Stegostoma tigrinum: one gene and its partners. The protein of the gene in region 1 purifies or fractionates together with the protein of each later gene. This does not show direct contact. Links are inferred from orthologs where the notes say so. Each region holds a gene or a part of one and is shown in the gene's direction. Other genes may lie near its edges. The genes, in order: myosin-9-like, enkur and sptan1.

What was found.
Region 2: the proteins of myosin-9-like (region 1) and enkur purify together in Homo sapiens (affinity purification with western blotting; 4 studies listed by BioGRID, with this or other methods). This does not show direct contact. The link is inferred for Stegostoma tigrinum from reciprocal best matches to the Homo sapiens genes MYH9 and ENKUR.
Region 3: the proteins of myosin-9-like (region 1) and sptan1 fractionate together in Homo sapiens (co-fractionation; 3 studies listed by BioGRID and IntAct, with this or other methods). This does not show direct contact. The link is inferred for Stegostoma tigrinum from reciprocal best matches to the Homo sapiens genes MYH9 and SPTAN1.

Annotation. Positions count from the first base shown.
Region 1 is NC_081391.1:3,548,272-3,555,240, forward strand, and holds the start of myosin-9-like, read left to right. Parts: upstream 1-3,878; 5' UTR 3,879-4,050; intron 4,051-6,969. UniProt on the Homo sapiens protein: Cellular myosin that appears to play a role in cytokinesis, cell shape, and specialized functions such as secretion and capping. Required for cortical actin clearance prior to oocyte exocytosis. Promotes cell motility in conjunction with S100A4.
Region 2 is NC_081355.1:121,134,109-121,142,090, reverse strand, and holds the start of enkur (enkurin), read left to right. Parts: upstream 1-4,978; 5' UTR 4,979-5,049; coding exon 5,050-5,285; intron 5,286-7,982. UniProt on the Homo sapiens protein: Adapter that functions to localize a calcium-sensitive signal transduction machinery in sperm to a calcium-permeable ion channel.
Region 3 is NC_081382.1:41,948,887-41,956,626, forward strand, and holds the start of sptan1 (spectrin alpha chain, non-erythrocytic 1), read left to right. Parts: upstream 1-4,639; 5' UTR 4,640-4,665; intron 4,666-7,648; 5' UTR 7,649-7,711; coding exon 7,712-7,740. UniProt on the Homo sapiens protein: Fodrin, which seems to be involved in secretion, interacts with calmodulin in a calcium-dependent manner and is thus candidate for the calcium-dependent movement of the cytoskeleton at the membrane.

The DNA of each region.
Region 1 (6,969 bases):
GGGGGAGATTCTGCCACACTGGGCCGAGATTCCAGGGTGAGGCACTGCCATGCCAAGCTGAGAGACTGCCATGGGCCATTGAGAGACGGGGCCAAGACACTGCCATACTAGGTTGAGAAACCAGCATGGGCTGCTGAGAGATGGGGCCAAGGCACCACTACATTGGGCCGAGAAACTGCCATGGGCCACCAAGAGACTCAGCCGAGAGACTGCCAGAGGCTGAGAGGAGACCTCACTGGGTCTGCATTGAGGCCGCGTGTGAAGAAAAGAAACACCAGGAGAGAAAAAAAAGAGAAAGAAATAGGAAAGAAATGGATAGAGTGGATGACCTCCTGCTGAAGCATCCTACTCCGGTGCCAATAGGAGGAAAGGAGCAATGTGTGTATCATCTTCTTAATATCACATCAGGGAGTGATACACTACTGTCTACTACAGACAGATAGTTTCAGGACAGGATTTCTCTTTCTTTGAGGTCAGTTTAGCTCAGTTGATTCTCATCTTTAAGTCAGCGGCTTCAACCTTAAAGCTTGCTCCTGGGCTTGAACATATCATCTAGCTGATACTTCAAAAGGCATAGAGAGTGCTGCATTGTTGGAAATGTTATATTTTAGATCAGCAATTAAGGTCTGATCTGTATTTTTATGTGAATGGAGAGATCCTACAACATTATTTATCTGAAAAAGATCATGGGGAGATGGATGATCTATCAATATCATAGGTGATATACTAGTGTTGTCATTAGACTAGTAATCCAGATATCTAGGCTAAAGCTCTTGGGACATGGGTTCAAATCCAACAATGTTCAACTTGAACTTAGTGAATAAATCTGGAACTAAAAGCTAATTTCATGGTAAGCATGAAGTAATTGCCAAAAACATCTGGTTCATGAATGCCCTTTGGATTGGGAAAATTTGCTATATTCACCTGGTGTAACCTGCAGTGAGCAAAGCAGTACTTACTCAGCAATAACCTACTCACTGTCGCTCAGTTTGTCTGGCCCACTGAGTTACTGTCCTCATTATAGGCTGGGTCCAAACATGAATAAAAGAGATGAACCTGTGAAGGAAAGTGAGGGTGATTGCCTTTGACATTAAGGCAACATTTGAACAAGTGTGGCACCAAGAAACCCTAGCCAAATGGGAATCAGAGGGAAAGCTCTTTGTTACTTGGAGTCATATTTAACGTAAAGTAAGATGTCTGTGGTCGTTGGTGATCAATCATCTTAGCCACAAGAAATCACTGCAGGAATTCCTCAGCTGTTTCAACAATTATGCACCCTTCATCATAAGGTCAGAAAGGGGCATGTTTATGGATGATTACACAATATTCAGAGCCATCATAGCTCCTTACATACTGAGGTAGCACAGTATGGAGCTGGAGGAACATAGCAGGCCAGGCAGCATCAGAGGAGCAGGAAAGTTGACGTTTTGGGTCAGGACCTTCTTCAGAAATGGGAAGGAGCAAGGGAGCTCAGAAATAGAGAGAGGGGTGGGGCTGGGGAAGGTAGGTGGGATGGTGATAGGTGCGTGCAGGTAGGGAGTGGGGGGATTGGTCGGTGTGATGTGTTGGGTAGATAGAAGATCGACAAATTGTGTCAGGTCAAGGAGGGGGGATGAGAGGGAGGGTTAGACACGGGATGAGGCCGGGCATAGGGAGATTTTAAAACTGGTGACATCAGTGTTTAGGCCATTGAGCTGTAGGCTCCCAAGGCAGAATGTGAGGTGGTGCTCTGCCAGTTTGTGGGTGGTGTCATTGTGACACTGAAGGAGGCCCAGGATAGACATGTCACCCAGGGAGTGGGAGGAGGAGTTAAAATGGTTGGTGACTGGAAGGTGTTGTTGTTAGCTCCGTACTGTATTGTCTCTGACTCCGGCATCTGCAGTTCTTGCTATCTCCTTAGATACTGAAACAGTCAGTGTCCAAATGCAGCAAGATCCTGACTTGGGCTGATAAGTGGAAAGGAGCATTTGCAATACACAAGTGCCAAGTAATGACCATCTCCAACAATACAGAATTCAACCATCTGCCCATGATGCATTATCATTCATAGTTGAATCTCCAACTATCAATATTCTGGGGGTTGCCACTGACTAGAAATGGACCATGACTAGCAATTTTAAACAGTGGCTAAAGCAGTATTAGTTAATTTTTCTTGATTCCAGGGCGGTCAAATGACATTCCAATCATTCTATCAAGATCATAAAACTCCACAACAACTTTTTAACAAACTTCTTGTTGCAGTCACTTCATGAAAAATAAATTAATGAAATGGACTTGACTATGTTGCCACTTGGTGCATATTGATTTAAATTCATGGTAGACCAAATCAAATGCCACAGAACCTAGATCTACCAGTTGTGGTGTTCATTCACTGTTTAGTTAGTTATTCAATTTTCAAATGGTGCTTCTACTGTCAGTTGTAGGATGCTTATGATCAAATAAGTCAACACAAACCAAGAGTGAATCAGGGGACGTTTGGGTTTTGGAATCATTGGACTTTCAAGTCATTGAACAGCCACTTATTGAATTGTTTTGGCAGCTTTGGTATGGCCTTTCGTCAGTTTGAATACCTTTCTTATCAGAGAATGTTCAGAGCTGCTTGTTATCAATTGCAGGGAAAATGATATGATGTGATGTGATAGAATGAGTATTTTTACGACTGTTAACAAGAAGTAATGATATACACAAAAATATTAATACAGAATAGAATCCCAGGTAGTGTAGTGCAAAAAACATACATAATTTAGGAATCGACTGGATTCTGTAAAGGGAGGGGAACCTTCAGAATAGTCTGCATTTCTAAATTGTATGCTGATGTCTGTAATTTTGTTATACTGGAAAGTGTGATTGAATCAATTGAACATGTGAGGATATTCATCTTGGTCAGTGGTGCAAAACGGGCAGTACTGGAGATTTTTCTATTCAACTTGTTCAGAGATGTAATTAAACACATTTGGAGCAGAAGTTCTGACAGAATAACTGGATTTGAAACCTTAACTCTGTTTTTCTCCCCAAAGATGCTTTAGACTTGCTGAGTTTCTCCAGCAATTTTTGTTTTTGTTTCAGAATTATTTGCAATTTTTGTCTTTGTTTTACTTTTAAGGCAAATGAAAGGTTGGCTTTTTTTCCAGTCAAAATTGTGTGTGTGGGTAGAGGGAACTCAGTGTGGACCCAGTGGAGCACAGCAGGCCAGGCAGCAACAGAGGAGCAGGAAAGTTGTCGTTTCAGGTCGGGATCCTTCTTCTGAAGATTCTGTTCTGTCAGATAGAATAAGGTAAGATTTTTAATTAGTAAGGGAACCAAAGGTTTTCGGAAAAAGGCAGGTAAGTGGAGTTGAGGTTTATCAGATCAACCGTGGTCTCATTAAATTGGAGAGCAGTTTCAATGGGCTGAATAGCTCAATATTTCTTAACAATGTTCTTATTCTTACCTGGTCAAGCCTACGTGACTCCAAAGTTCCAGTAACATGGTTATTTCTTGACTTCTCTCCGTACAATTAGGGATAGACAGCAGACGTTGGACCAAACAGTTTTGCCCACATACCCATCAACAAATAAAATAAAAATTAAGGCTAAGCAAGTCGGGAGCTACCAATCCCTTCAATTTTGAGCTTTTACCACATCCCCTCCTTCAATGTCCTTCTCCGTTGGCCGACCGAGATGTCGTTCAATCTTACCTCATCACTCCATATGACTGCGGCATTAGCCACTTTCCTGGCTTTGCCGCTGTAGGAGGAGTTATCAGTCAGTTGGAGAGGGAGCTGCCCCGACGATGGGGGATTCTTTCTTGCTATTTGTTATATCGTCTGCCACTCAACTAGCACGGCGCCCGTCTATTGGTCAGGGGTGGAAGTTTACGTCACGGGTGGGATCTGCCCAAACGGTTGGTGCGCGAGCTGCAGTTCGAGAGCTCGAGCGAAGCAGTGAATCGTGACGGACGGACAGCATTTTTAAAATTTTGGATTAAAAAGCGATAAGCAAAGTCCATCTATTTCTATAGATTATAATTCAGGAAGGCGACAGCGTTCGAAAAAAAACTTGAATCTCGGAGGTAAGCGACAGTTTGAAAAAGCACCTTGTTTTTGGTCGATTTATTAAGGCGGAAAAGGGAGAGAAACCAGGAAGAGAGTCAGACACCGGGTTGGGCCGGCGCGCTCGCCGCAGGCAAGAGGCTCCCGACCCAAGACGTCAACTTTCCTGCACCTCTGATGTTGCCTGGCCTGCTGTGTTCCTCCAGCTCCACACTGCTGTCTCGCCACGGGCAATTTCGTTCCTATCAAATTTAAATACTTTTTCCTTTTTAAAAAAAAAGTTCAGAGGATAGCTTTGCTCTATCGACTAACTCTACTGACGAATTTAAAAACTACCTTAATCTGCAAAAGAATTGAGTTTTTTGGAGTTAGTGTGAGCTGGATTGTTAATGCATTTTTGTAATTTTCAAACTCGTGCTAATCAGGGGACAGGTAACATGGAAACCGCCTTTCGCGTTCCAGCCACTATAAAAATGGGCTTGGCTTCCGCTTCTTCGGTTGTATGAACTCCCTGCCTCCTCTTAAAAAAAATCAAATGTGATTTTTCTCTCAGTCTAAAATAATTAGTTGGTAAGATAGCAGTTAAAATGATTACGTCTCTGGGACGTGGAATGCTGGCGAGAGGCATTTCATTGATTTAATATAGAGCAGAATAATCCACTCTTATGTACGCAATTGTCCTATATAAAATATTTTTGGTATCATTTAGCTTGCATAGTTATGTTCTGTTCCAGGACAGTAATGAAAAGCTGCTTTTATGAAGTTAAAATAAAACTTTGAATTTTGAAGAGAGGAGAATTCAATCTTTTCCCCAAGTGCCCATCCCATTATCATTAAAATTGTCAGCACCCTAAGGACAGTAATTGACTTTCTTGTTTCTGACAAGTAAAAACTATGGTGTGAAATGTTACTGTTATAATATCTAACAATTCATTTCCAAAATTAAATGCATAAGGAAACTTTGAAAACGTGGGTTATATAATTTGTGTTTAAGTAAAACACCCTTATGCACCTAGAATATAACCTTTGAATACTTCCTTTTAAAATGGTTAGATTTTTGTTTAAAAAAATTGTTAATTGGATAAATTACATATTCCCCAAATTTGGAGATGATGGTTTAAAAGGAAGAAGTTTAGATGGTGTACAGCTTATTTACCTGAAAGTACTGCAAATGAGGTCATTAAACTGCTTTGCCATATGATAGCTCTTTACCTTCTGCAAATCCTTAGGGCTTCTGCATGAACTAAAGCCCCACCCAGTTCGAAGTGTAAAACTGTAATGTAAGTCAAGAATGACTCATGGAGAAGTGTGCTGATAACTTACAAAAGCCTTCCCGTTAGCTGACTATAACTTTTCTGGAATTTGAAAATGTTATTGCTTCAAAATGCCTGGTAGCTTATACTGCCTACTAGTGAAGGATGCATTTTTACAGAGGTTAAGAATGTCAAAACAAGCTTGAATATTTCCAAAATGCATACTGTTGTTTTTCTTCTGATACTATGAATAATGCAGCAGTGAAATGCTGAGGATCACTTTCCTCATGCTTTTGTTTCCAGTAATGTGACATTGATCAAGCTTTTCTTCTATAAAATTTACATTCACCCAAACTTCTGTTGCTCATGTTCTATGCTTAACTTTTGCTCACCTGTCACTGTTTGAACTATTTGACTTCTGGTTTTGCAATGTTTTGATTTTAAAATTATCATCTTTAATTTTGAGTCCATCTCTTTCCCTTCAACCTCTGATCTCTAGCACTACAGGCTTCAGATTTTTGCACTCTTCAAATTCTGGCGGCTTGTGTGTCCCCATTTTTTCATCCCTGTATAATTGATAGCCTTTGGCTGCCTGAGCCCTAAGCTGTGGAATTCCCTCATTCAGCTGCAGTTCTTCTGTACCTTTTCTTCCTCCCATCCAACCTCGTCTTATTTATTTGAGGTGCTTTATTAAAACCATCCTCTTGTCTGTTTTAATGTCTTGTGTGGCTTGATGTTTAAGTTTGTATGTATTGTTCCTGTGCAGCACCTTGAAATGCTTCATTATATTAAAAGTCCCAAATAAACTATTTATCTACATGATTTATAAGATTTAGTCCATTTAAGTTAGTGTATCTTTCAAAATGTTGTCTGAAATCTCAATATTGTCAATGGGGAGGTTGCCCTGCTTCCTATTTGAGAATAAGTAATTAATAAATTGAGCCATAATTTACTGCAGTAAAAAGACCGTGTCACTTTCAAATGTGGCAAAGGACTTTTGACATTTCTATGGCATTTCAGAAGGTACTGAAATCTTGTAGTTTTGGCATTTGGACATTTTGTAATTATTGAAGTTTTAACTCTGTTATCTTCCTTTAGCTTTATGAAATCATTTGGAAAAAAGTAATCTAAATACTCCATTTGAAATTTCTAAGCTATTTAAATATAATGTTTTTGTACAGGACTAACTTCTGCAGAAATTATCATCTTTTCTGAATGTTCACACTTGGAAAAGGAATTTGGTAGTCAAATGGAACAATAATATAATATATTTCATAAAATAGAATTGGTAATTTATAAAAATCAAACCTGCATACCTTGAAGGTAAAAGCTAAAGGTATAGGTGACAATATGTCTGTATACGATCAAGGTATAAGTAGTCCAAACTCCTTTTTGTCTTGCATGATTTCCAAGTTTCTAGGGCATCAAGGTGTGGTGGCGTGCTTAAGAATGTAGAGTGGTGTTCTGACTTGTTCATGATGGATGTTTCATGTTTCCTTTGCACTGTCTTGCTTTGTTTCTTTCTGGAAAAGCTTTTACATAGGGAGCAGAAGAACAAAAAATGTGAAGTACTTTTTAAAAAGTTGGAAAGAATTTTAATGATATTGGTCTGTATTGGGTACTGTATTCTGCCAAAATTTCAGTGTACCATTCTTGATAACTTAAGATATTTTAAATAATGTCCAT
Region 2 (7,982 bases), on another chromosome or scaffold:
GGTTTGCATGCATGCTCTTCGGTAGGTTGGTGCAGGCTTGTTGGACTGAATGGCGTGTTTCCACGCTGTGGGGATTCTATAAACTTCTTCACCCAAAGGGTTGTGAATCTATGGAATTCTCTGCCCAGTGAAACAGGTGAGACTGGATGAACACAGCAGGCCAAGAAGCATCTTAGGAGCAGAAAAGCTGGCGTTTCAGGCCTAGACACTTCGTCAGTAAACATTTCTGATGAAGAGTCTAGGCCCAAAGCGTCAGCTTTCCTGCACCTAAGATGCTGCTTGACCTGCTGTGTTCATCCAGCACCACACCTTGTTATCTCAGATTCTCTAGCATCTGCAGCTCCTATTATCTCTGAAGCAGTTGAGACTACCTTGTTGAATGCTATTAAGGCAAAGACTGATTTTTGAACAATAAAGGGGTTAAGGATTATGATGAGCAGGTGGATAAGTACAGCTGAGTCCACAAAAAGATCAGCCATGATCTTACTGAATGGCAGAGCTGGCTCAAGGGGTCAAATGGCCTACTCCTACTCTTATTTCTTATGTCCTTAAATCTTTTCCTCTCACTTCGAACCTATGTCCTCCTTTGCGAAGAGGTATGAATTTAGGTTGTCAGCCTTTTTCGTGTTCCACATATAAATTCCTGCATTAATGACTGTAAGGGAATTACAACAGTTCTCACCAATCTTTTTCTCTTTACCATACCTATAGAACTTTGACAGTTATCTTCCCGCAAGCCTACTCTCTACTCAATTTCCCCTCTTCTTAATCAATTTTTTGATCCTCCTTTGCTGACTTCTAAACTGTTCGCAATCCTCAGGACTTTTTATGGTGTTTTTCTTGTCAATTTGTATACCTCTTGTTTGCATTTAGTATTATAACTAACTTCCATTATACCCCATTGTTTAGCCACTGTTCTCTCTGCACTCTTGCACCAGATAGAAATAAACATTTTTTTGCAGTTCACCCATTCGCTCTTTGAATGTTTGCCATTACCTATCCACTGTCATTCCCCTCAGTAATATTTCCCACTTCATCACAACTAACACCTACTTTCTATCTTTATTTCTACTTTTTTCACTAAAGATCCTCAGAGAGCACCATCCAAACCCACTACCATTTCCATCTAGAAGGACAAGGGCAGCTGACGTATGAGAACAGCACCACCTTCAAGTTCCACTTAAAGCCACTCGCCATCCTGACATATACATCACTACTGTCTTCACAAAAAAGGACATAGGTTCAAAGTGAGAGGAAAAACTTTAACAACATGAGAAACAAGAGTAGGAGTGGGCCATTTGACCCCTTGTGCCTGCTCTGCCATTCAGTAAGATCATGGCTGATCTTTTTATGGACTCAGCTCTACTTATCTATCTGCTCATTGGAACTCTTAATTCCTTTCTTGTTCAAAAATCAATCTTTGCCTTAATAATGTTCAACAAGGTAGTGTCAACTGCTTCACCGGGCAGAGAATTCCATTGATTCACAGCCCTTTTGGTGAAGAAGTTTATAGAATTACCACCTGAAACATATCTCCGTTCCTTCACTGTTGCAGGGTCAGATCTGGGAATTCCCTCCCTAATAGCATTGTGGGCCAACTTACAGCAGGTGGACAGCAAGCGATTCAAGAAGGCAACTCACCACCACCTTCACAAGGGCAATTAGGGATGGTCAAGAAATGCTGGCCCAGTCAGAGAAGCCCACATCCCACAAATGCATGGAATCTCCCTTGTCTTTCTGGTTTTCCCCTTCCACGGGTGGGGGCAGGTTTTGGTCAATGTTTTGACCATGCACAGATAGGGCAGCGGGGCGGAAATGACTGAAACAGAAGCGGTTCTCCCTGCGACTCCTGAAACAGACACTCGCAGCCATGTGCCGGCACCTCCACACACTGCAATCCAGCCTGCCCCAGCTCAGAGCCTCCATCTCCCAGACCTGCAAAGGACCCCTGCTGTTTTTTACCCTCCGCAGGATCCACAGACTGAACACCCAGTTCCACTCAGCTTTATTGGACACCAAAAATCGTAAGTACAACCAACTCACGGGCCCCTGCCACCCACTAGAGGATTCCTGCGCCTCCCAAATCCCGACTCTGTCCCTGCCCCTCTCCCACCATGCACCCGCCGCCATTGACCATGAGGACACGGCCGGAGACCCCACCGATGACGTCACATCCGCCTCCGCCGGCCACAGAACTTCCGGAACCGCTGCTGCAGTCACCACCTCCACGTCCAGGTACAACACCCGACACACCACCCTCACCTCAGCTGCTGCCGCCCACCCCCATCCTCCAACCGCCGACGGAACCCCGCCCACGGTCGACGCCAACAGAACCCCGCCCATGGCCGACGCCGACGGAACCCCGCCCACGGCCGACGCCGACGGAACCCCGCCCACGGCCGACGCCGACGGAACCCCGCCCACGGCCGACGACCTCATCGCTCCGCCCACAACCTCCACAGCCAGCAACCCCAGAGAAGACAGCCACACTGAGCCCTCCCCCCAGACCTCCCACTGACTGAGGACGAACGGTCAGTCCTTAGCAAGGGGCTCACCTTTGTCCCCCTACAACCACACATCAACGAATACCAGTCACGGTTGGACATAGAGCAGTTTTTCCGCCGTCTTCGCCTCCATGCCTACTTCTTCAACCGGGAACCCAACCCTCCTTCCACTGACCCCTTCACCCGCTTCCAACACAAGTCCTCCTCCTGGACACCACCCCCAGGCCTCCTACCCTCCCTCGACCTCTTCATCTCCAACTGCCGTCGAGACATTAACCGCCACAACCTCTCCACCCCTCTCACCCACTCCAACCTCTCCCCCGCAGAACGGGCAGCCCTCCGCTCCAACCCCAACCTCACCATCAAACCCGCAGACAAGGGTGGCGCAGTGGTAGTATGGCGCACTGACCTCTACATCGCCGAGGCCAGACGCCAACTCTCCGACACCACCTCCTACCACCTCCTCGATCATGACCCCACACCCGAGCACCAAACCATCATCTCCAACACCATTCACGACCTCATCACCACAGGGGACCTCCCACCCACAGCCTCCAACCTCATTGTTCCCCAACCCCGCACGGCCCGTTTCTATCTTCTTCCCAAAATCCACAAACCTGCCTGCCCTGGTCGACCCATCGTCTCAGCCTGCTCCTGCCCCACCGAACTCATCTCCACCTATCTGGACTCCATTTTCTCCCCTTTGGTCCAGGAACTCCCCACCTACGTCCGTGACACCACCCACGCCCTCCACCTCCTCCAGGACTTCCAATTCCCTGGCCCCCAACACCTCATATTCACCATGGACGTCCAGTCCCTGTACACCTGCATTCCGCATGGAGATGGCCTCAAGGCCCTCCGCTTCTTCCTGTCCCGCAGGCCCGACCAGTCCCCCTCCACCGACACTCTCATCCGCCTAGCTGAACTCGTCCTCACACTCAACAACTTCTCTTTTGACTCCTCCCACTTCCTACAGACTAAGGGGGTGGCCATGGGCACCCGCATGGGCCCCAGCTATGCCTGCCTCTTTGTAGGTTACGTGGAACAGTCCCTCTTCCGCACCTACACAGGCCCCAAACCCCACCTCTTCCTCCGGTACATTGATGACTGTATCGGCGCCGCCTCTTGCTCCCCAGAGGAGCTCGAACAGTTCATCCACTTCACCAACACCTTCCACCCCAACCTTCAGTTCACCTGGGCCATCTCCAGCACATCCCTCACCTTCCTGGATCTCTCAGTCTCCATCTCAGGCAACCAGCTTGTAACTGATGTCCATTTCAAGCCCACCGACTCCCACAGCTACCTGGAATACACCTCCTCCCACCCACCCTCCTGCAAAAATTCCATCCCCTATTCCCAATTCCTCCGCCTCCGCCGCATCTGCTCCCACGATAAGACATTCCACTCCCGCACATCCCAGATGTCCAAGTTCTTCAAGGACCGCAACTTTCCCCCCACAGTGATCGAGAACGCCCTTGACCGCGTCTCCCGTATTTCCCGCAACACATCCCTCACACCCCGCCCCCGCCACAACCGCCCCAAGAGGATCCCCCTCGTTCTCACACACCACCCTACCAACCTCCGGATACAACGCATTATCCTCCGACACTTCCGCCATTTACAATCCTACTCCACCACCCAAGACATTTTTCCATCCCCTCCCCTGTCAGCTTTCCGGAGAGACCACTCTCTCCGTGACTCCCTTGTTCCCTCCACACTGCCCTCCAACCCCACCACACCTGGCACCTTCCCCTGCAACCGCAGGAAATGCTACACTTGTCCCCACACCTCCTCCCTCACCTCCATCCCAGGCCCCAAGATGACATTCCACATTAAGCTGAGGTTCACCTGCACATCTGCCAATGTGGTATACTGCATCCACTGTACCCGGTGCGGCTTCCTCTACATTGGGGAAACCAAGCGGAGGCTTGGGGACCGCTTTGCAGAACACCTCCGCTCAGTCCGCAACAAACAACTGCACCTCCCAGTCGCAAACCATTTCCACTCCCCCTCCCATTCTCTAGAGGACATGTCCATCATGGGCCTCCTGCAGTGCCACAATGATGCCACCCGAAGGTTGCAGGAACAGCAACTCATATTCCGCCTGGGAACCCTGCAGCCATATGGTATCAATGTGGACTTCACCAGTTTCAAAATCTCCCCTTCTCCTACTGCATCCCTAAACCAGCCCAGTTCGTCCCCTCCCCCCACTGCACCACACAACCAGCCCAGCTCTTCCCCCCCACCCACTGCATCCCAAAACCAGTCCAACCTGTCTCTGCCTCCCTAACCTGTTCTTCCTCTCACCCATCCCTTCCTCCCACCCCAAGCCGCACCCCCAGCTACCTACTAACCTCATCCCACCTCCTTGACCTGTCCGTCTTCCCTGGACTGACCTATCCCCTCCCTACCTCCCCACCTATCTTCTTTACTCTCCATCTTCGGTCCGCCTCCCCCTCTGTCCCTATTTATTCCAGTTCCCTCTCCCCATCCCCCTCTCTGATGAAGGGTCTAGGCCTGAAACGTCAGCTTTTGTGCTCCTGAGATGCTGCTGGGCCTGCTGTGTTCATCCAGCTTCACATCTTATTATCTCGGAAATGACGTATGCTGGCCTAAGTCTGTTGGTGGTAACGGTGGCTATGGCAACGTGGCTTCGTGGTCTTTCTCGTTCCACCAGCTTCAAACGGTTTGTCGGATCTCCGCGATGGACGACGAGACTCCGAGTGAGTGTATTTACAACCTGCTGCCCCGGCCCCAGCCTCCGCCTCGCCACCGCCTCAAGTGAGTTTCCGGACAGAATGCTTGTTTCCAAAACATGGAACTGACCCCGCCAGGTGTCGTTCAGGGAGTAGGAGACCCATCGAAAGATCGGGGGTTTGGGGAGAGAGAGAGAGAGAGAGAATGTGGGGAGGGAAGGGAAGGAGAAAGAGAATGTGGGGAATGGAGAGAGGGAGTTTGGAGAGATGGAGCGAATAGATGGAAGAGAAAGATGGGGAGTTTGGAGAGAGGGAAGAAGTGCATGGAGGAAAAAGATGGGGTTTAGAGGAGGAGGGACGACGGACAGAGGGCTTGGATAGGCGGAAGGAGAGGAGGGACGACGGACAGAGAAAATGACAAAAAAGTGAATGAGTGCGGGTTGAGGACAGTGAGGGGATTTGGAGACATGGAAGGAGAGAGAGTGGGGTTTTTCAAATGAGGGAAGAGAGGGTAGAGGGAATCTGGATCTTAGAGTTTGGAAAGAAGGAACAGGTGAGTGCGGTTAGAGTGAAGGTGATGGTTGGAGAGAGGGTATAAGGGAACGGAGTTATGGTTTGGAGAGAGAGAGTCAACGACGAGCTAGAGTATGGAGGGAGAGATTTTGCTTTGATATGGAGGACTGAGGGAGACAGAATTTACCGAAAGGGAAGGGGGCAGAAAAGTGATATAAAGCCGCAGAGATTGAGATGAAGAGAAGGAATGAATGGAAAGGAGACTCTCAAGGGACGGAATGAGAGAAATTGAGTCAAAAGTGGAAAGCATAAAGAACGAGAGAATGAATAAAGATGTGTCTGAGAAGAACAAATAATGGGGGATAAGAAGCATGGTTTTAGAATTTTTGAATCTTTAACTTGGAGAATGGTTTGCAGTCAAGTGTATAGCTTTGTCCAGCCTGGTCTTGAATCTCCTGAATGCTGTGAAGAGGTAGTGAACAGACATTTGGGGCTAAGGTGAGTCACTTGGTGCAGGATACCTTATCTTGACTATTTATTTATGCAGCTGGTCCAGTTAAGTTTTCTGATCACTAATAACCATTAGGAAAGTATTTCTTCTGGATTTGCTGATGATATTGCTATTAAATGTCAAGCAGATATAGTTTATGTCCCTTTTTATTGGAGATGGTTATTGTTTGGCATTTGAGAGGTAAATATTACTTATTCTATGAAATATACTTTTCATTCAAAATGAAACATGGAATTCTGGATAAACACCTCAGCTCAGACACATATCTGTATGATCTGGTTGTCATAAGAGGAGAGGCGCGAACAGAAATCTGTTGAGGTGGGAGTAAAAAGATGTTAAAAAGACAGCTGCTGTTTGAACTGGAGGCTGACGTGGTAGGGAGAAGTGACATTCCATTGGCGAGCTAGGAGTGACTGTGGAACTGTTCTTGAAATGCTACAAATCTGTTCAAAGTATGGCGCACTGAAACATTTTGTAAATGGAAAATCATGCTTCTTTGAGATTAATGTATTAGTTGCCACTCAGTAATGTTTGATCTCTGTAAGTTTTTAGTTTTCTGGCAAAGAACAATTCTTAACATCTTGTCCTTTTAGTTCTTCCTGTCAGTTGCAGGGGAAATTCATCTCTTTATAAAATTTAGATACTTTATGGGAATTGTAACAAACAAGAGACTGTTACACGATAGATCTCAGTGGCTTTGAAATAGATACCTTGGAGTTTTCCATCATTTAAAAAAGATTTCACATTTCTTTGTGTTGTTTTCACAGGAAAGACAACGTGGCTAATTCTACCCCTCAGACAATTTTAGAGACAGATTTGTTAGGAAGTTTACAGAAAAAGTTTTAAAATGTGGGACATTGTGTTTCAGTTCTACCTATTAGTCACTTGAAAATCTCTTAAAATTCTTTCATTGTCTACAGGGATTGTAATATCCTCTGTTTACAGTAAAAATTTTAAAATGTGGAACCTTATTTTTCTGTTCCACCTATTAGTCACTTGAAAATCTCTTTTAAAACGTTTTTAGTGTCTACGGGGATTGTAATACTCCCTGTTTATCAGCCTAAGTCTGGATGTTGTCCAGGGCTTGCTACTCATATATATCATTATCAGAGAAATGGTGAAGGAAGCTGGATGGAATATTGTGCAATCACCAGCTGTTGCAATCCCCTTGGAGGCTAATAATCTTTTAAATGATATTTAAATTCCCAGTCATTGACTTAGATGATTTGCTTAACATGAGTACTAACAAGTATAGAAATAGGAGAATAGGGCAGATGAATACATGGCAATAGAGAAGGTGCAGGCAGGAGGGATTCCTGGATTACTGGGACCATTTCTGGGAAAGGTTGAACCAGCACAAGTGAAGCATTGTGCATCTGAACCAAAATGGAACCTTGTGTATTGGTTTGCTAGAGCTGTTGGGAGGAGTTTAAGCTAGTTCAACAGGAGGGTGGGACACAGAGTATTAGGACAATAAGGACACAACTTACTATAATAAAGGAGCCAAGACAGATAGAGTTCAGCTATATTGAATTGCAAGTGTGTAAGTAGTATCATACGTGAAGCTGAAGAGTTAAGGGTGCAGATTGACACATGGAATTCTGATATTGTTGCCATCACAAAAATGTGGTTGAGGAAGGAACAGGAGTGTCAATACAACATTCTGGTGTTTAGGATCTTTAGGAGAGGTGGGGAGGATGCAATAGAAGAGATGGTATTGGACTATTAATTAACAAGTTAGTTACTCCAATAGGGAGG
Region 3 (7,740 bases), on another chromosome or scaffold:
CCCCCATTCATGTTACCATCTAATATATCTCCTTTGAACTCTCTCCAAGGCTTTAAGTCTTTTCCTTAAAAAAGGTGTCCAGAACTCAAAACAATACTCCAGATATTAACTGCTCAATGATTTATAGAGGTGTAGCACCATTACCTTGCTTTTATACTCTATGCCTCTAGTAATAAACCCAAGGATCCTATAAGCCGCCTTAACAACTTTTTCAAGTTGCCTGGCCATCTTCAGAGAATTACACACTTGAACCCTGAGGTTTTTCTGCTCCTGTACTTCCCTCAAAGTTGTACTATTGAACCCATACTGTCTCTCCAAGTTTCTTCTAACAAATCCATGACCTGACTTTTTTGCATTGAAATTCATGTCCATCAGAAGTCACTCAGCATCATCCTCACAATTCACTATTCTCCTTAGCTTATAGATTTTGCTGTCAACTCCCATCTCCAAATCATTTATATAAATCAGAAAAAGGGTCCCAACACCAATCCCAGGGAACACCACTTTCAACTCGTCACCAGTTTGAGAAATGTCCATCTATACCTACCCATTTTTTCCTATATTTTGACCAATTTTTAATCCATGCTGCCAAAGACTCATAAATTCCAAGCATTTCTAATTTGCTAACCAACCTGCAACTTGGCACTACAGCATACACTTTCTGAAAGTTCAAATATACAACATCCACAACATCACAAATATACTCTCATCCACTGCCAATGTCACACTGTCAAAAAAACTCAATTACGTTTGTCAACCATGACCTGCCCTTGACATGTTGACTGTCTAGTATTAACTAGTCTTATGGCACAGAAATAAGCCATATGGCCCATTGTGCCTGTGTGGCTTTTCAAAAGAGCATCATTATCTAGTTGCAAACTTATGCACATTATTTTTCCACTAAATCTCCAATGCCTCTTGAATGTCTCAATTGAACCTGCCTCTTGTCCCTTGTCCCTGAACTTGTCCCTTTCAGGGACTGCAGTCCAAACCCTAGATAACAAGGTGTATAGCTGGATGAATTATCTCACAGTCCAAACCCTAATCACTGACTGCATAAAAATGATATTTTTCCTCAAATCATTTTTTTTACAAATCATTTTATTGTTCCTTTTACAAACTTGAACAGTTTCTCCCTATTGATTTTATCCAGGCCACTTTAATTAACAGTTCAGTCTCCATAGTTCTGCTTTCATGCACTCATAGTTGCCCTTATTTTAGTTACAAGCGTGATGGAGACTCATGTGGCACAATGAAAGTGTCCCCAGGAGTCCCAGGTTCAAGTCCCACCTGTCCCAGAGGTATATAGAACATACAGAACATAGAACATTACAGCACAGTGCAGGCCCTTCAGCCCTCGATGTTGTGCTGACCTGTCATACCGATCTCAAGCCCATCTAACCTACAGTATTCCATGTACGTCCATATACTCATCCAATGACGACTTAAAAGGACGTAAAGTTGGCGAATCTACTACCGTTGCAGGCAAAGCGTTCCATTCCCTTACTACTCTCTGAGTAAAGAAACTACCTCTGACGTCTGTCCTATATCTTTCACCCCTCAATTTAAACCTATGCTCCCTCGTGCTCGCCATCATCATCCTAGGAAAAAGGCTCTCCCTATCCACCCTATCTAACCCTCTGATTATTTTATTTGTTTCAATTAAGTCACGTCTCAACCTTCTCTCTAATGAAAAGAGCCTCAAGTCCCTCAGCCTTTCCTCATAAGACCTTCCCTCCATACCAGACAACATCCTAGGTAATCTCCTCTGCACCCTTTCCAAAGCTTCCACATCCTTCTTATAATGCAGTGACCAGAACTGTACGCAATACTTCAAGTTCGGCCGCACCAGAGTTTTGTACAGCTGCAGCATAACCTCTTGGTTCCGGAACTTGATCCCTCTATTAATAAAATCTAAAACACTGTATGCCTTCTTAACAGCCCTGTCAACCTGGGTGGCAACTTTCAATGATCTGTGTACATGGACACTGAGATCTCTCTGCTCATCTACACTACTAAGAATCTTACCATTAGCCCAGTACTTTGCCTTCCGGTTACTCCTACCAAAGTGCATCACCTCACACTTGTCTGCATTAAATTCCATTTGCCACCTCTCAGCCCAGCTCTGCAGCTTATCTATGTCTCTCTGCAACCTACAACATCCTTCGTCACTATCCACAACTTCACCGACCTTAGTGTCGTCTGCAAATTTACTAACCCATCCTTCTACGCCCTCATCCAGGTCATTTATAAAAATGACAAACAGCAGTGGACCCAACACCGAACCTTGCGGGACACCACTAATAATTGGTCTCCAGGATGGACATTTCTCATCAACTACCACCCTCTGTCTTCTTTCAGCAAGCCAATTTCCGATCCAAACTGCTATATCTCCCACAATTCCATTCCTCCGCATTTTATACAATAGCCTACTGTGGGGAACCTTATCGAACGCCTTGCTGAAATCCATATACACCACATCAACCGGTTTACTCTCATCTACCTGTTTGGTCACCTTCTCAAAGAACTCAATAAGGTTTGTGAGGCACGACCTTCCCTTCACAAAACCGTGCTATCCGTAATCAATTTATTCTTTTCTAGATGATGATAAATCCTATCCCTTATAACCTTTTCCAACACTTTACCAACAACTGAGGTAAGGCTCACAGGTCTATAATTACCAGGGTTGTCTCTACTCCCCTTCTTGAACAGGGGAACCACATTTGCTTTCCTCCAATTGTCTGGCACTATTCCTGCAGACAATGACGAGTTAAAGATCAATGCCAAAGGCTCGGCAGTCTCCTCCCTGGCTTCCCAGAGGATCCTAGGATAAATCTCACCCGGTCCAGGGGACTTATCTATCTTCACCCTCTGTAGGATTTCTAATACCTCTTCCTTGTGAACCTCAATCCCACCTAGTCTAGTAGCCTGTATCTCAGTATTCTCCTCGACAACATTGTCATTTTCTAGAGTGAAGACTATTGAAAAATATTCATTTAGTGCTTCCCCTATCTCCTCTGACTCCACACACAACTTACCACTACTATCCTTGATTGGGCCTAATCTTACTTTCCTCATTTTTTTATTCCTTAAATACCTATAGAAAGCCTTAGGGTTTATCCTGATCCTATCCACCAACAACTTCTCATGTCTCCTCCTGGCTCTTCTGAGCTCTCTCTTTAGGTCTTTCCTGGCTACCTCGTAGCCCTCAAGCGCCCTAACTGAGCCTTCACATCTCATCCTAACATAAGCCTTTTTCTTCCTCTTGACCAGAGATTCCACCTCCTTCATAAACCACGGCTCCCGCGCTCTACAGCTTCCTCCCTGCTGACAGGTACATACTTATCTAGGACACACAGGAGCTTTTCCTTGAATAAGCTCCACATTTCTAATGTGCCCATCCCCTGCAGTTCCCTTCCCCATCCTATGCTCCCTAAATCTTGCCTAATCTCATCGTAATTGCCTTTCCCCCAGCTATAACTCTTGCCTAGTGGTATACACCTATCCCTTTCCATCACTAAAGTAAACATAACAGAATTGTGATCGCTATCACCAAAGTGCTCACCTACTTCCAAATCTAATACCTGGCCAGGCTCATTACCCAGTACCAAATCTAATGTGGCTTTGCCCCTTGTTGGCCTATCTACATACTGTCAGGAAGCCCTCCTGCACACACTGGACAAAAACTGACCCATCTATAGTACTCGAACTGTAGTGTTCCCAGTCAATATTTGGAAAGTTGAAGTCCCCTATAGGTATATAACTCTGCTGAACAGATTGATGAGAAAATAAAAATCTACAAGAGCGAGTCTTGAACCCAAGGGTCATAGAATATAGAACAGTTTTCTGAAGAAGGGTCTCAGCCCGAAACGTCAGCCTTCCTGCTCCTCTGATGCTGCTTGGCCTGCTGTGTTCATCCAGCTCTACGCCTTGTAGCACAGAAACATGCCCTTTGGCCCACGATGTCTCAAATACCATGAAGCCTCTCAAAACTAATCCCATCTGCCTGCACATGGTCCATATCCTTGCCTTGTTTATGTGTTTGTCCGGATGCCTCTTAAACTATGCTGTAGCCGAGTCTTCTCTCCCTCACACGTTAGTCTGGACAGCACTTCTGGAAGCAAAAGGAAGTTTTGAAAGCGGTGTGGTCAGGGTGGAGATGTCCAAAGATGCGCTGTTTAGGTGGACGGCCATGCTATTTTGGCCCATAGTGACCAGGGATGTACAGGCGAGGTGGGTTAGCCATGAGAAATGCAGGGCTATGGAGACAGACTGGGGTTGGGTGTGGGTGGGATGCTCTTCGGAGAGTCGATGCAGACCGGATGGGCCGAATGGCCTCTTTCCGCACTGTCCGGTTTCTATGAGGCTGCCGAAAGGGTATCCCGGGCGACGGACCGAATTTTCCGAAACCGTTGCGCCATCCGAGCACGGAGCCGGTACAGTATCGGGAGACGGAAAGGGCCGAAAGTGACGTCGTGGCCCCGGCGACGGAATGTGCCGAAGGTGGCCCCGCGGCCTGGGTGACGGAAAGTACCGAGGCTTTTCGGGTTCCTTCGTTTCCTTGCTGCAGAGCAGTGACATCATCGCCGCGGACGGTAAAAAAAGGCCGGTGCGAGCCCGGAGCGAGAGAGTCTGCAGCGATCATCGAGTCGTCGACAACCTTCGGTATGTTTCATACTTATCTGGAAATGTAACGTTTTTTTTGAGGTAGAAATGAGCAGTCGGTCGTCCGTTGAAGGCCACTTCTTTCATTCAAACGGGCACACTTCTTTGCCGCGTTTCTAATTTTGTCTTTTCTCGGAAATATAAAAATGTTTAAAACGAGGAAGCTGTGAGCTAAAATATTTAAAGCATACATTTTCCTTGATGGGTAAGTTGTAAGGGTTTCAGTTAAAGTCGATTTTGTTTTCGGGCGTTGACGCCCGTCTGAGGAGAGCGAAGGAATGTTTGCTAATATATTTTTTTGATCGATAATTATACAGTATATTTCATTTTCAATGTTTTCCTTTTTCGAAGAAAACTTGGCAAATGGAAAATGTAGATTTGTTTTCCTCGTTGCGCATTTTTGTCTCGGTACGTGCATTCACAGACACCACCACAGCATGTTTAAATTCTGTTAGATATGGATTTTTCTCAGGTTTATTATTGTCTTTTCAACCACAATGGACCTTAAAATGGCTGCGGGGGAGGGTGTCCTGCGGCTGTGACCGCAACAAGGTCAGAGAAAATCATATAGATATATAAAACACAATTTGGTGGGTAATCCGTTCTGAGGTTGCTTTGGGTTAAAAAAACATTATTGGCCTTCCACGCTGCATTAGGCTTCATCCCCGGGCATGGGGGAAAATTGTTTTTTAATCTGAAATTAATCCTCCCCAGAAATGGGGACAAGGTTGGGTGAATGGGGAGTGCAGAACCTGTCAGCCATACAGTAAATAGACTTACGGAGTAGGGGCTACAGTTGGTGGCTGAAGAAAAAGTTGTACAGAAATGGCCACCGTTTGGTGAAAATATTGGCATTTTGTGGGCTATATTATGATGAAATATTTATTAATGAGAAAGTTGATGCCTGATATAATTATTGGGATGTTGTAGGTGATATCCAAAACGATTTATTGAAAGAATGCCAACTGCAGAAAGTCAAGATTCATTACGTGTAATTTATTATTGTGGTAATTGATGTTTGGAAGAGACTATTATTCTATAGTAACAGATGTAAAGGCATTTTTTTAGCAACTGTTGCAGACAGGAACATATCAAAAAGGAAAATGCTTCACCAACATAGACCCTTAAAAATTTGAGAGCAGAAAGCTGGGTGGGGCTGAGGATAATGAATTACTGTACAAATGTTCAAGAATTGTGGTAGATGAGTGCTATTTTTGGCTGTTTTTTACATACATGTTCCTTGCATTAATTACAGCTGATTTCTTCACACACCCCCCCCCCCCCGCACCGGTCTGCAAGGTATAAAGTATTATTCTGCCTCTTTTGTGGTTTCATGCTAGGTAAAATTGTTTCTGTTAAGGTTTCCTTTGTAGTAACTGATACATTTGTTTTGACTTCTTAAATTATGTAAATATTTACTTTGTTCTCCTGGCTTCTTAATTAAGCAAATTGTCATCAGTGTCCGTGTCCAACTTTGTACTTGCAGCTTAATATTCAGTAGAGAGGTCAGGCCTGAGTATTATAAATCTAGCTGTCATGATGTAATCATAAGAGACCATGAATTTCTGATGTGTGACATGATATGAAACATTGGCTCATTCTTCATGGATCATTTCATGGATGGATGGATCAATCAGCATTAGGTTTGAATGAGTTTAGCAAATGTGAATGGAATAGAAGCTAGGGAGTTCAAACTATTTTTGTGCGGTTCAGTCATCACCCAAGAAACCTTCAAAAATGTACATAAAACAAGAAATGGCAGATCTCGCAACATATGTGGGGTGGAAAATTTTCAGCTAAATGCTTCAAGCCCAGTGTCCCTATTATAAAAAGAAATCTGCATGTTCACTCATTAACCTCCATGTTCTTACTTCATAAAATGTAAATTGCTGTCTGGAGTTATGCATAATTTAAATACTATCTCAAATATGTAGGGAGGAGACTATTTTATGGTCAAGAAAACAGTTAAAAGTGTAAAATGGTGAAAAGTCCAAAGACCATTGTTAAGAATGTCATTTGGTAATTACAAAATTCAAGTTTAAGCTATGTATGCTATGTCTCAATACACGATTTAATGTTAAAATCCAAATAATTTATATATTATAATATGTGCTGTTTCAGATCTGGTACCTTTCTTAACTCAGAAGTATATTGCAGTTAGGAATCATCACCGTTCTGAACTGTTATATTTGTTTCGCTTCGCAGCTGCTACCTGATCTGCTGAGTATTTTAAGCTCTTTGTCTTCTATACTGCAGGATTTCAGCATCTGCATATGGGACAAAGTTTTTTTGGTTTTTTAAAAAAAGCTTTTTTATTTTGGATGAGGTTTTTTTAATCTATTCATTTTGTGAGATGTGGGTGTCACTGGCTGGCCAGCATTTCTTGCCCATCCCTAGATGTAATTTATTGTGAGTCCCTTTTTCTTTTGCTTCAAAGTTAGAATATCTTCCTATACTGACTGTGTGTGTGTGTGTGTATTGTTTTTGATGAATTATTTTGGAAAAAAACAATAGGGGATTAATTATCTGGAAGTTAGAAGGAAATTTTGCAGTGCAAGTGTTTAGTGTACTGCGTCACCAAAAAATTGTGCAGTGCACAAGTGTGTTCAGGGTGGGGTTTTTTTTTGTATATAGCTCTGGTGATAGGAAATATTTTGAATATCATCTTTCAGTTTATTAAAAATACACGCTATTTTGAATAAATCAATAAATCTTTTTCTTTTTGAAAAAAAAGTACTTTTACTGTAAACATTGTAATGGATAATTTCATGGGAGAAATCAGGATGGAGTTAATCTGTATTCCTAATTGAATGTGGGGTGTGGAATGAGATGTCTGTTTGAACTTCAGTTACAATATTCCAAAACGTGAGTCTGGCAGCTGTTGCATTTTAATGATGCAGCTGGTACAGACGAACTCTACAAAATTTGGCAACACAAAATTAAGACTAAACCTTACTACTGTATCTGATTTTTTTTTCTATAGCGTTTGCTGTATGTGAATTGCTTCTCAGTTGTATAATATATTTATCAAACACCACCATCCAACATGTCGTCCTTCCGCAAAATCAAACTGCA